Linked DNA regions of Drosophila melanogaster. The protein of the gene in region 1 interacts with the protein of each later gene in a biochemical or structural test. Each region holds a gene or a part of one and is shown on either strand. Other genes may lie near its edges.

Region 1 (8,623 bases):
AGCTGGCTGTTACGATCCGGGATAAGCGTGAAACAGCCAAATTAACACAACCCTTGTACTCGTCCGGATTGCGCTTCACCAAGGCGTCGATCAGCGAGGTGGCCGCTGTGACCACTCCCATGTGCTGATCATTGAGCAAATGGATAATGCGCGAAGTCCACTCACCACCGGGAATGATGTCCGGCGAGGAGCGGAACAGGCGGAGCAGGCATAGCGCCGCCGACTGCTTCACCACGTCCATGGTGTCGCCCGAGACGAGTAGCTTGGGTATTTCGTTGGAAAAGGACTCGGCCATATCCCGACTTCCAATGTTGGCAATGCATTGTAGTGCCAGATTAACGTGCACAGGATTACGCGACTGCAAATCATTCTTTATAGATTGGATGATCAGCCGAATAAGGTCGCTGTTGGTGTTCACCAACACTGAGATGAAAAGGTAACCCTAAAGTTCAAAAAACAGATTTTATCAGTAACATTAAATTTAAAAAACCAATTTTTTAATTATTTTTATCAAACTTCAAACAACGACAAGTTAAATTTAATTGAATGAAATTCCCTTTTCCCACAAGCAGAGTCGTCTGCTTTCAGTTCAATTATTTCGACTCGCTAAATAAACAAATGATTATTGAAGCAATTTTTTGGGGTACTCACAATCTGCTTTTCTGAGTATTTGTTGGAGGACAGCAAATTGACCGCCTCCATGTGCCCGAAGTCGATGTCATGGCCGAGGAGAAATATGAATAACAGCTTACAGACATATTTCTTTTTCTGATAGCCGTCGAGGGTTTTGTCTCCTTTAAATTTGCTTCGTATATTGGCCAACTCCTTGTTTATGCGTTTGACTTCGGCCTCTTTGCTTTTGCCTGTGGGCAAATGGGTGAATATTAGTATAGAAATTTGTGTCTTATGCGGGTATAAGGGAGATTCACAGTAAAACAACAGTGATTCGTCTGCGGAAGCTTCGCTTTCCTTTCCACCCCGCGATTGATCGATCGGAGAGACGACTTCACACCCTTCAGCTCTCTCCATGTCGCGGATTTTCTCCGATTCACATAGGCGTCAATTAGTACCAGTCACCGATCCGCAGCGGAACCTCTGCTCTCCTATATGTTGTCCACAAACCAGAAACTAGTAACCGAGCATACAGCAAACAACGAGCTGTGATAATAATACCATACAGTGAAGCGTCGGACTCTTGCGCACACACATATGCACGCTTCGAAGTACTACAGTAAGTCATCAAACTATCAAAATTGTAAGTATTTATTAATACTGAGAGGCAACCGATTCACATTGATATAACTATTTGCTGTGTTGTACCCATATATATAACTATATATATAACTTTCTCATATCTTTCTAATGTAACGACTACGAAAACATTTACATAGGAATGGAGAAGAAAAGTAGCCAATATTTTGTAATTCATCTGGCAGAGAGCTTACTGTTCCTGCGTTTTTGTACCGCCCCACGTTTTTGTCAGTGCGCTGCTCCTGGTAATTGATCAAGTAATGGCGCTGATTCCGCCCCTATGGAAAATCTCTTGTTGCGACCCGCTCAATTGGATTTAATGCTGGTTACCCAAGAGATCTGCACTTACAGTTCCTTATATCCGATATAAAGACGGCCAGGCCTCTCATGCCATCCCCCCGCACCGGCGCCATGGTAGTTAGCTTGTTAATTTTCGCTGGTTTTATGCAAACTGGGGGCGCAAGAAAATCGTCAATGGATGGCGGCCGAGTCTCGAGGCGTTCTTATCGCTCGAACTCGACGTCGGACCCTAAGATATATAGTTGCTCTCCGCTCTGGTTCTGCAAAGCTCTTTTTACTTCGATTGGATCTCGGCCGTTCCTTGGGACCTGAAAGGGGAAACGATACTCTATTTATTGTGGGTTGTGGGAATGGGAAAACTTAGTATTATGATTACGTTTTAGTATTTGTGTTAACAAACGTATATTATTCAAACAAAAGGTATTTTGGATAACAATTTGTATTTAGCCAGGGAGTAGCTTATTGTGCATGCCAACACATTGATACAGCTTCTATTTTGAAAGTCCGTATTGCAGTTTTACTTTTGATAACGAAAACGCCACAAAATATGTATGCACCACACATTTCACTGAGCATCAAGCGCTGATAACGATTTATATGTATAAAAAATCCAATGTTTAATAAACTCAGAACTTTTAAACGGTAAATAGTGGACTACGTGATTGATTTTCCGGCCAGTGCACCCAATGGCTGGCGAACTTTGACATTTTCTGGTGGAAGTAGAGTGTACCCCCGCATTTTTGGCAACCGATTTATTTTCAACTTGGCAGCGTTTTGCCCGTTGATAAAGATTCTGTGACCTCGCTCGCCCACTTTTTATCGCCTGGCGAAGTCGATGTGCACTTGGGCATTATTATTTGGATTTGCGCGACCACCGGCTTTTGTTTCTGTAGTATACTTTTTACTTTGCTTTCCGTTTCGTTTTATTTTCTGTTTTTCACTGCGCTCTTCGGTTCTCTTCTTTCTTTGCTTTCATGTCACGTCACTTTTTTCACCGCTGGATGACGAGGGCGTTTTGCCCAAAAAAAAAAGCACCGAAGAAGCCTCCAAAAACATTAATGGGCGTATGTTAGCTGTTCTTTTTTTTTGAGCTTACTTTTCCGATTTTTTTTACTCGCCAGCGGACAAAATCGGTTAGCGTTGCGGAATTTCTGTGGCGGAGCAGAGAGAGTAATCTCTGACTTCTGAAGTTGGCTTCGCTTGGAATCGGAATCCGGGGTGTTGGCTGCGGAATGTTTGACCCTGCGTGTTGCACTTTATGGAACTCCAACTCGCTGGAGCTTCGCCTCGCTGATTTGCCGCTAATTTGTTTGTTAACTATTACCAAGTGCAGGGCAATTCACTAAAATGAAAATTTCTATTGATTTTTCTTCGCTCTCGCTGCCTAAGAGTGGAGCCATCTAGCGGGCGCGGGTGGAACGATTGGTGTGACCAGTAGAGCGTTGGGTTGAAATACAATGATTACTTCGAGGGATGGGTACACAGGGATGGACGAAGAGAGACGACAATTCGCTTTAAGAATTTTTTACCTTTTGCTCCAAGCAGAAATCCAAAAATATCTTCTTAATTGTTTTTATGGCTAATAAATTTCCGTTCTATCCTTTAAGGTAACGCTTGGTGCAATACAAAAATATGACTCAAATTTGATTAAGTTGTTGTCAAAACTTGTGACGTCACAAAACACAAGGCTGCGCAACCTCTCGCAGCGCACACCTTGAGATTACTCCGCCATTTTTTTGCGCGTTTCAGAAACGCGTTTTCGATCCCTCGGTTTTATTTGTGGAAAAAATATGTGAAGTGCTCTTGCGGCAAGCAGCAAACTGGCAGAATTGAAAACACAGGACCGACCAGATCGATCCAAGTACCAGGAGTAGCACCGGATACCGTGGCTTGCGCCGAAGTGATAAGCGTGCCGAATGCAGACGCATGTGTTACGCAGCACAGTTCCGATTTTCGCACCGTAAAAACATAATTGGCATTGGAGATAGGAGTGGATTTTGGAGTGCGCTAGTAGTAGGAGAAGGAGCCAACCGCGTTCCGTCATGAGTTTTTCCAGCGACGAGGTGAACTTTCTGGTTTACCGATACCTGCAGGAGTCGGGTGAGTAAAACCCTCCAATCGCAAGATAACAGCCCGCCCTAATCTCATGCAATCCCGTTTTCTAGGCTTTCTGCACTCGGCCTACGTGTTTGGCATTGAGTCACACATCTCGCAAAGTAATATCAATGGCGCATTGGTTCCACCTGCCGCTTTGCTCACCATCCTGCAGAAGGGTCTTCTGTACACTGAAGTGGAGTGGAGCGTAGGCGAAGACGGCGAGGTGGCGCGACCCATTGAAGGACTCTCTCTAATAGACGCTGTCATGCCGGAGGTGAAGCCACTCAAGCCCATTGTGAAAACAGAGCCGGGAAAACCCGGGGCAGTCGACTCTTCTGCCCCTGCCGGTGGCAACCAGAACAACAATGCCAAGCCTGAGATAAAAATAGAACCGGGTACCGGAGTGGCGGGCTCAGCAGGTGGAAACAAAATTGCTGGCAGCACCACGGGCACAAGCACACCAACCGATCAGTCGGCAAGCGAGGTAGACTCCAGTGGAAATGCGGCAAATAATGCTGGCGGCACATACGCCGGAAACAATGGAGCTGGAGGGAACCAGGCCAGTACTGGAGGATCTAATAGCACAAGCACACCAGCTGGTGGAGATTTGGCAGCACCTGGGGCAAGTCAAAAGAAATCCCAGAACTCGAATGAAGCGGGAAGCTCATCTAGTGGCAATGCAGGCAATGCAAATGCTACCAGTACCGATGATGCAGCCTCCTCAACATCCACAAATGGCAATAGCAGCACTTCCAGCAGCGTAGAACAACCTACAAGCGGGCTGACGCCCGCTGGTGGAACTGTATCAACCTCCAATCCGGACGCAGCAGCATCGGGCGGAGCTTCGACTGCAACAGGATCAAAGGCGCCAAGTGGAGCGGTTACGATTCGCGTAGGAGCCCAAGGAAACAACGTGCAGTCTGGTTCGTCCAATGCTCAAAGCTCTGCTCCCAGTGGAACCATCTCCTCGTCTACCAGCGGAGGTGCTGGGACTCCCGCAGCTCTTGTTCCCATGGACATTGACGAGAACATCGAAATACCCGAATCCAAGGCTCGTGTATTACGCGGCCACGAAAGCGAGGTGTTTATCTGCGCATGGAATCCTAGCCGGGATTTACTGGCAAGCGGTTCGGGAGACAGCACTGCTAGGATATGGGACATGTCCGATGCAAACACTAACTCCAACCAGTTGGTGCTGCGCCACTGCATCCAGAAAGGCGGCGCTGAGGTGCCTAGCAACAAGGACGTCACCTCTCTGGACTGGAATGTAAGTCGAAGATCTTGGCACTTAAGCCTTGCAAAGTTTGATTTCTGATCCTTACTTAATCTATTCTCGTTTTTGCAGTGCGATGGTTCCTTGCTCGCCACCGGCAGCTACGATGGTTACGCCCGAATTTGGAAAACCGACGGTCGACTTGCTTCTACTTTGGGACAACACAAGGGTCCGATCTTTGCTCTGAAGTGGAACAAGTGCGGCAACTACATCCTCTCGGCTGGCGTGGACAAGACGACGATCATCTGGGACGCATCCACGGGCCAATGCACCCAGCAATTTGCCTTTCACAGTGCTCCAGCCTTGGATGTGGACTGGCAGACAAACCAGGCCTTTGCCTCTTGCAGTACGGATCAGCGGATACATGTGTGCCGGTTGGGTGTAAATGAACCCATCAAGACCTTTAAAGGACACACAAACGAGGTGAATGCAATCAAGTGGTGTCCGCAGGGCCAACTGCTGGCGTCCTGCTCTGATGACATGACCCTCAAGATCTGGAGCATGAACCGAGATCGTTGCTGCCACGATCTGCAGGCTCACTCAAAGGAGATCTATACGATAAAATGGTCGCCCACGGGGCCGGGAACCAATAATCCAAACACAAACCTGATCCTCGCATCCGCTTCGTTCGATTCCACGGTAAGACTGTGGGACGTGGAGAGGGGCAGCTGTATCCACACGCTCACCAAGCACACAGAGCCAGTCTATTCGGTGGCCTTCAGTCCGGATGGAAAGCATTTGGCCTCCGGCAGCTTCGACAAGTGCGTACACATTTGGAGCACGCAAACGGGACAGCTAGTGCACAGTTACAAGGGCACGGGCGGAATCTTTGAGGTGTGCTGGAACTCCAAGGGCACTAAGGTGGGTGCCAGTGCCTCCGACGGTAGCGTTTTCGTGTTGGACCTGCGAAAGTTCTGATTGCCGGAGCAGCCACAACTGGATTTCGTGTATTGAGCCAACGCTTAAAATAGTCAAGATTCCTTTTCCAGCTCATTATTTGGTAAAAATGAAATCGGTAGTTTTTCACTTTCTTACGGAACGAGAAGTTTTTACTTTTGATTCAAAAATTGCATTTAACTATATTTTTTAAAGAAGTGAAATATGATCAGTTACAATTCTACCAACATAAGTCGATTTGGATCTGGAGTCCGGACCTTAGGTAACTCCTTTCTTAGCTATCCCGCCCTGCAATCGTATTTGTAATTGCTTTAAATTCTAATTAGTTCTTTAAGGTATACCTCTTGAGATGAGATCCTCCCGCTTTTGTCCACGTCTATTTCGTACGCTTAGTTTCGAGTCACAAAATATCGATATGCACCTGGGATTTTTGGGGGCTTCAACATGGTTGTTGTTCTCTTCAGATCAGCGGGATGCGACTCGCCTCATTTTAATCTTAATCATAAGCTCCATGTTTCTAAGGTCGTCCCTTTTTATACGAAAATCGTTTAGTATAACTTTGCATTTTGTTATTGTATCGATCAAAGATGCCAGCCAACTCCCCGCCCTCCCCACCAAAAGTCCTTTACCCAATTCCACAGTTGTCCTCCAAAAAAGGGATGCCAAGAGATCAGATCAGACCGATTCACGCATACATTCAGAACAGTGTAACTGCAGTCCCACGTAGTCAGTAATCGAACGTAATTATTAAGAACACGAGATTGGCGGAAACACAAGAACATCAGCAAAAATACATTAAAGATAAAAATTAATCTGTTTTCGTTTTGGGCCTGGGTGTTTTTTGTATTTTAGCATTTTAAAATTTAATACTAAAGTACTTAAATTAAACTTTATTCTTTGTAAATATAGATACTCCTGAACTTAATTTTATTTTCATTTGTTGCTAAAACTCCATGACACTTTCCAGATGGCGTTGCTTAAAGAAGCGGCACTCCTCGCGAATTATTTCGCCGGATTTTGTTGTGCCCTTAAAGAACTTTGTGAGCTTGGTGCCGGCGTACTTGGGCTTCTCGGAATCCGGCTCGTCGAACTCCATGTCATAGGCCTTGTCCGCCAGTGCGTTTTCCGCGGTGGACCAACTGAAGCGCACAAGTCGTGGAAATCCAAACACTAGATCGATGTACTCGGTCAGAAATCTTCTTGTGACCGGATCTCCCGGATATCCACTGCCGAACTCGTTGTCCTTAATGACCAAGCCCTCGGGGAAGCTCCACACCTTGAGGGCATGATCACGGGTAACTTTGGCGCATATACTAGCAGCAGAGACTATTGGATAGGTGGAGTCAGCTTTTTTCGCCACGGTGATTTTAAAGCTGGGGAAACGTTTGAGCAACTTCTCCTGGTACTTCTCCGGCGGACCCACCGTATCCACATAAACCTCGGCTATATTGACGCCCGCATCGATCGCCTGTTGGATAAGGCCCATGGCCGAGTCCATGGAAACTTCGTTCAGGGAGCACTTCGACCGCCGGTACATGCTGGTGCTGATCGTGTTCGGCGATATGATCTCCACGGCCCAGCCAACGCAACTGGTCGCATATTCCTTGGTGTTGATATCGTTAAATATGATATCACGTTTCCCCTCGGTTAGTTGTTTGGAATCGGCGCATCCCAGGTCCTCTAAAGCCTTGTTACTTTCCAGTGGACAGTAGGAGATCCCATATACCATAGGTCCCAGGACGGGACCACGCCCTGCTTCGTCCACGCCCAGCATGCACGGCTTATCCTTGCAAATATCCGGAACATCGCTGAGGTAAACCGTGTTGCGGCTATTCTCCTTGCCGGCTATAAATGGACCCAGGGCCTTCAAGGAGCTTATTTTTCCGCTGTCCTTAAAATCTACATCATCGGGCTCTTCGTCGTTCTCATCAATATTTTCTATACATTTTTTTTCTTTTTTTACAACTACGTCTTCTTGGTCCGACATTTTCGCGCGCTTTTTTTTTGTTTACGTTTAAACGACGCTATGGGCACACTAATTGTATACATAAAGTTGCAGTGTGACTCATTCGTCATTATACCAAAATATCTTTTTTTTAATATTCTCAATAACCGTACGGAAAGGTCTTTTATTAAAATAGAGAGATAAACATATAACCAGAGAATTATGCTAAGGCTTCTGTCCAAGATGCTTAAAAATAAACTAGTTTAAATAAGAGATAATCTCGGCAGTTTGAACGAGTTTTCCTCTACCTAGTATTTCCTGACAATAATATGCAAATTTTCATAGACGGTTGGTATTTTTCTTCGTCATCGGCGCGGTCACACTGCATATCAACTGCTCTTTCCGGTTTAGGATTTTGACCAGCGTGCTTGTTCTCGTCCCGAGCTAAGGCCATTTGTTATAAACAATTAATTTTTGGCAACTTGCACAATCAGTGATTAGCCACAGCACTTCGACATGTCCACCAAAGCCGAGCTCGCCTGCGTCTACGCCTCCCTCATCCTCGTCGATGACGATGTCGCCGTCACCGTAAGTTTTTCGATATTGCAATCGGGGACGAAGCAAATCCTCCAAAGCCGCGGCCATCGGCCGGAAGTATTGGACAATTTGCGGGTCCTATGGTTTCTTTCGCACTGCTGCAACTTGTGCTGATCTTATTTTTTGGATTCACCAGGGTGAGAAGATCAACACCATCCTGAAGGCCGCCAACGTCGAGGTGGAGCCCTACTGGCCCGGTCTCTTCGCCAAGGCCCTGGAGGGCATCAACGTCAAGGACCTGATCACCAACATCGGATCCGGAG
Region 2 (6,118 bases), on another chromosome or scaffold:
ACGCAGTCTGCTGCTTTCTCTTCGTGCGTTTCGTGGGCCTCTGCCGCGGTCGGCGTCGCCATATATTTCACTTTTTAATTTCTTAAATTTTTTTGATAGCGTTCTCCTTGCTCTCCTGCCGTGTGTGCGTCCGTTTTGTGGTATGGTATGTGTGCGAATGCCATCCCCATAGTCTCCACTTCCACTTCCTCCTGCGCCTCCTACCTCCTCCCACCACCCACCACCCATCGTCCCCCACACCGCTGCGCACTCAATTAAGCTTATCGCCCACTGTCCGCCCGTGTGCGTGAGTATCTGTGTGTGCTTTTTATTTGTGTGTGCCTTGTATCTGCGACGTTTTGTGGGGATATCTGCGTGCTGCTTGCTTTTTAGAGGTGACTTTCCTCGTCTGCGCTCCTTGAAGGCTACGAGGAAAACATCTCTGCTGGCTTCTCGTTTTCTGTCTTCCCCGTTCGCCTGTTCCTCTCCTCCTCCGCCTACCACCCACACCACACCACCCCACCTCACCCCCATTCACTCGCCCTGGGAAGCACGCTGCTGGTGTCGTGTGCAAATGGCCCCAACAGCGGCGGCCGCAATCGAAAAATCCTCTTTGAGAGGATTAAAATATACACAGCTTTTTTCTTATTGTCATGTGCTCTTTGCTTCCCTGCGAGCGGTACAGTGGGGCATATGCGATGATTTTGGGTAAAAAGGATTTTTGAGGATTTGGCATAATAGTTATGATAAATCTCAGTACTTCTTGGACGCTTATATGTCATATTATCGTTTTGAGCTCAACATGGAATTTCAACGGAATTTCTGTAAGGACTGTCAGGAATGTATATTTGTTTTGAGCTACAACCTTCAAGATTGATTGTAAGTCCAATTATGAAAACAAAAAGGGCAATGTGGAATTTGAACACAGCTCCACTGTGCCCGCCTTGTATCCCCAACCTCCGGTTGTCCCACACACGGACAAACGGAACGGACACCGTCCCCTGGCAAAGCTTAAGGGTAGCAGAGGCGTTGGCAGCGCTGCTTTCAATTACATTTCATTTGCATTTCGTAGTGTGCTGTCTACCTCTGTGTGTTTATTTCTTTTCGCTGATGTTGCCTTTTCCCGCACAAACACAGCGGCGTACTATAAGTTCGCAGCCTTAAGTCAAATGCCTGGCCATCCGCTCTCCTTTTTGAAATTCGCTTTTGTGGCTGCCATTCGTTGAAGAATGCAAAATAGGAAACGGCTGGCAGATGAACACATCCACCGCCGATTGTGTGGGTGAGTGATTTTTGAGTTCTTCAGTTTTTCAGGCACCACAGGGCGTATACTTGACGCGGACATTGAGCTGCGCCGGCAGCGGCGTCGACGTCGTTAATTGAATTATAGTGCATGCGTATGTATGCTTGTAAGGCCTGCAAAAGGCTTAAAACGGTAAAAAAAATATTTAATTTCAGCCAGCAGGCGGAAATTGTGAAATAAGCCTAACTACGTGTTTGGGGTCCGGAAATTACTAGAAATCCTTAAGAAATAACATTAGGTTTTATTTGGTAATTGTTCTTTAAATTTATTATGAATCTTTGATATCCATGTAAGTAAAAATTTATGATCTTTGGGCAACTGTAACTATATCTGGAGGGTTACCACTGCTGCCTTCTGGTTTCCGTCTTTTGCTTAGCTTTTTTCGGCCCATTCTCTTTTCGCGAAGATTTCTGCCTGAGTTACAAAACATATTTTGGTCACTGACCTTTTCTGTTTCTTGTATTTTTCGTTGATTCCTCATTTTTTTGCTGACTTTTGAGCGTTTTTTGTTTGTGTTCCACTTTTGAATTTAGGTTTTTGCAGTAGTCGGAGTTTTTGTGCAGATTGCTAATTAAAAAAGGAGATATATGGGGTACACGCGCGACTTGTATGCTATCAGGATGGGCAATCGGGGCAGCAGAACCCCGAAAGCGAAATACCTGGCGTTCTCCGCGAAGGTGATTCAAATCAGAAATGCATTCAAGAAAAATTTCATTTACTTGTAATGCCACAAGCCCCAGAATATGAAAAGGAGTATCGTGTGGATGAAAAGGTATACCACATGAATATACACGGGGAAACCGCGCACAACAGACATTTATTTAGCATGGCAGCTGGCACTTGCGAATGAAATAAATAAATATAAAATCATTTTAAATAACAATAATCAAGGAATGTATTGTGCAAATTTGGTTCCGAATAATTGTTGAATACGAAAAAGGGGCAGGAAATCGGCGCAAGATGGCAGATACATTTAAGTAGAATTTGTGAAAGAGTCACGTGCACTAAACCAATGCACCGGAAAAATTTCCTGTATTATTTCAATCATTATTTGTTAAAAATGTTTTAACATTTCTTGCCCTGTGTACTTAAGGGAGAGTGAGAGAAGAATAGATAAGAGAGTTCTGCCTTTTCCTATCCCCCGCTGATATTGCGTATACGCCGCTTGGACTTTTACTGTTTCGACTTTTTATGGGTTTCTACGAGCGAAAACAACAATGCATATGTTCAGATCGCGTTTGCGTTGTTAGTCATGTCATCCTCTTTCTCTTTTCCCTCTTTCATTGCTGCTTTAACCGTTTCGATCGCCGGCTAAACAACAGTTATAATTCGAGCATAATGTTAAGTGAGCGCAAGGTGTTCACAAGTGTCTTTGTGTGTGTGGGGCAAACAAACAGAAAAGCTTTCGCGGAGAGCGGGAAATATATAGTAAAGAGCGCATAGTGCTGCTCTTGTCGTTTCATTAACAAAACAACCGCAAAATTTATGTGTGATCTGAGACTGGGCATTCGTTTCCTTTTCGCCCCAATACAAAGTATAATTCACGATTTTTGTTGTTGCTGCCACTGTGTGAAGTGGGTTAGCGAATTAAAAACAACGACAGAAGTAACAAATAAACATAACATACAAAGACAAATGCAGATCGGAGACGAAGATTGTGTTTTTTGGGCTGTGATCTTGATTTGCATAATTGAATTTGTGGCTTAGCGTGGAGCACAGGTGCAAGTGTAGAGTTGCCCCTTGGCCAGGGTTGTCAGGTTTCCTTCCTCCCAAGAATAGTAACCAACGTATAGAGTTGTAGCTCACTTTAGTTATTGCGATTAAATAAACGTAAAGCCGAGTTACACAATCAATACATTGAGTCCAAATAATTTGTGCAGTGCAAACATGTTGCGTACATGGATTACTCATTCACACATTCACTCCATTGGTTCATTCAGAAAAACACCGCAAGTGTTGCAGCCACTGGAAGCCACCAGAAGGCACTGGAACTGGAAGAGTGATCAAAAGGGGTGCGCCGGGCGAATGACGACTGGATGTGGAAGTGGGGGATAAAAAAGGAAATGGGCAACTGCAAATGACAGAGATCACTGAAGCACGACCGACAAATAAGCGGCGGACGAATCTATGTATCTAGTATCTGGTATCTAGTGTGGCGGCATTACTCCCCATGTGCCGTATACGGCATGTGTGCATTTGTATCTGTGGCTGTACCACTATCTGTATAAGTTGGATACAAAAGCGTCTTTCCAATAGGCGTGTGTTGGTGCATGTACTGAGCGTGTGAGCGGGAAATTGTTAGAAGAAAATGTATCTGCTAGGCTTTTAAGACTGCTAGATTTCCAAAACGACCCTTGGCCAATTTGTCAGGCTTTTATTGCTATAATTCTGTAATCCAAAAGCTATTAACTGCTGATTTTGTCATCAATTGTTTTCGACTCCTGCGATGTCCTGTTTAAAGTGATTAGATTCTAATCCAAAAATATAATTCAGTGAACATTCAAATCTTTAAAAAAATCACTACGGACTCCAGAAACAAAAGCCAGTTAAAGAACTTTTGAATCTTAATCAATAAAATCCTCATCTGAGATTCAAGATAAGTCTTAAGAAGGTAATAAGAATACTTAAACTTGTCGTTTAAATTTGAACACTTGATGATTTGACCTTTTTCGAAGACTATTTCGTGGATAATCTCACCACTTACCAATTTTACAAATATTCTTGGTAATCCGTTTTGCGGTTTCTTCGGCGGAAGAAGGCTTGCAACACTCGAAAGTACTTGTTGTTGTTTCTGTTTCTTCTCTTGTTGTTGGTTACACGTAATTGGCAACCGAGGCGAACACGGAGCCGAAAGCGGGTTGCGAAAAGGCAAAAGGCAAAGAAATCAGCTGAGGAAACGCCGCGCACGAACCTCCAATCAGAACTGAAACGGCAGGGATGTCGACGTCGACGCAGAAGCCATTTTACCGCATTTGTTGTCCCTGAGCTGAGCCCCAAAACCGAGAGAGAGAGAGAGGCAGAACGAGCACCACAGAGAGCCGCTAAGGTGGATACACAAAGCCGAGCCGAAGCCTTACCGAAAGCTTTGATCACACGGCACGAACTGAGCTGGGAATAGCATGGAATATGGGAGTATGGGAATTGGTAGTGGTAGTGGGCGGTATTTGTAGTGCTCCCGTTTCACATTGCTCTCCCGCTCGCAGGGCACCAAAAACGCAAGTGGATGTGGACGGATGAGCGGACGAAATGGAATGGCAAGAATCGAACATTTGAATGGGGCTCCAAATGGTTAAGAGAACAGCGCAGCCGCTGCTGGCAGCGAGAGCGAGGGAGAGCGCAGTCCCAACTTGACATTTCCATTTCGCCGCTGCGTTGGCGCTCTGCCCTTATGCTCTTTCTTCTCGCGCTCTCCCGCTGATAAGCTGGTGTTGAAAACAAGTCTCCTGCGCTCTCGCTCTCTCTCACCGCCGTGACCTGCTGCTCCACCTCTGCGCCCACCACCCCTTCGCTTCTCTGCTGCATCAGCGTATTACGAAATATGACAACAATGCAGTTTGGTCGTCCTCGTTTTCATTCTGCCGACACAGCGGCTGCTTCTTCTTCAGTCCCATCTTCACCTCTCTGCTTGTGCCTGCTCAGCATAAATGCCATCTCTCCGCTCTCTTTGGGAACACCGGAGTATGGAAGAGTGTGAGAGAGGGGGGGGGGGAGAGAGAGGAGAAAGAGAGAGTGGGTGGCTGGTGCTTGTTTGTTATTTTCTCCGCGCTGCACTTGCAAATTGATTGTATTTTAATGAAGTTCTGGTGCCCGCTAAAAATAGTCAACTCTCTATTCAAAGGGGAGGATCGTCGCCGAGGGGCGTGGTGCGGGAATTTCTATCTGGGCGCATTCCAAGTGCAGCAATATATCGGCAGTAACTAATTCCAAATGCCAGCTATTACGACAAACTGGTTTGATCGGAAAAGCGTGCCTCGTATGCTCGACTCTCTTATTCGCTCAACCTCCCACCGACTGCCCCGCCCCCCAGCGCCCCTTTCGAGAACGCTCGCGCACACTTCTAACTGAAACCGAAATGATTCCATGTTTTCCCCGCTGCACCGACTTTAAGTTGAATAATTGTTGCTGGGGTTGCCCTGCACTGAGAGAATTGTTTGCAACGTAATTGTTTCTTTACGTTTTAGAAAATATCGCTACCTTAGATAATATAAACTTTATACACTAGTTTTGCTGTGCACGATGGCACACGTAACCCACTGGTCAACTGCCTGATGGGTCTTGGGAGCGTGTCGCTTTTTGGGTAACCCCCGGGACGGGGCGTTACCTGATCCGATCCCAAGGGGGGCTGGTCGTTATTAGGGCCCATTTGAAGGATCATTAGGCATGCATGGGAAAGACCGTCAATCAATGCGTGTTCTTGGGAAACGGCAACAGTTCCCCGCATCTAAGATTATATATCTGGCATAGATATGGGAGTTCTTTGACTTTGGCACCGCTGATAGTGGAAAAGGATTGAGGGACCAGACTTGGGCGACAGATAAGACATGTCTAGGAAGGCCGTTATCTCTCTCTTTATACGCTGATAATGGAAGCCTTAATCGCTTTCTTTAAGTACAATCGGTTAGTTAGGTTTGGTTTTAAACATATCTACATATGTGGACCCTCTGTTATGAAAGCGTGTAGTATGGGGATAGCTTTGAGCAAGTTATACGACTGGTGAAAAATTGGCTTGCATAACCCGCCATACCCTCCATTGATCTTTCCTTGCACACCATTTTATTGTTTCGCAAGCTTACATTAGCTTGGAAACTAATTTCGATGGAGCCCACAGACAATTAC

The links. Proteins that work in one complex are often made in the same cells at the same time.
Region 2: the proteins of ebi (region 1) and ttk form a complex in vitro, tested with the Drosophila melanogaster proteins (one study listed by BioGRID).

The regions. Positions count from the first base shown.
Region 1 is NT_033779.5:411,796-420,418, forward strand, and holds ebi (ebi), read left to right. Parts: upstream 1-3,271; 5' UTR 3,272-3,593; coding exon 3,594-3,651; intron 3,652-3,716; coding exon 3,717-4,915; intron 4,916-4,993; coding exon 4,994-5,839; 3' UTR 5,840-6,741; downstream 6,742-8,623. Other genes in the region: AP-2alpha (adaptor protein complex 2, alpha subunit), read right to left, coding at 1-442, 652-863, 930-1,029; CG13690 (uncharacterized protein), read right to left, coding at 6,762-7,805; RpLP1 (ribosomal protein LP1), read left to right, coding at 8,280-8,351, 8,497-8,623.
Region 2 is NT_033777.3:31,712,138-31,718,255, reverse strand, and holds the start of ttk (tramtrack), read right to left. Parts: upstream 4,390-6,118; 5' UTR 3,987-4,389; intron 1-3,986. UniProt on the Drosophila melanogaster protein: Binds to a number of sites in the transcriptional regulatory region of ftz. Isoform beta is required to repress inappropriate segmentation gene transcription and repress genes incompatible with development of photoreceptor cell fates.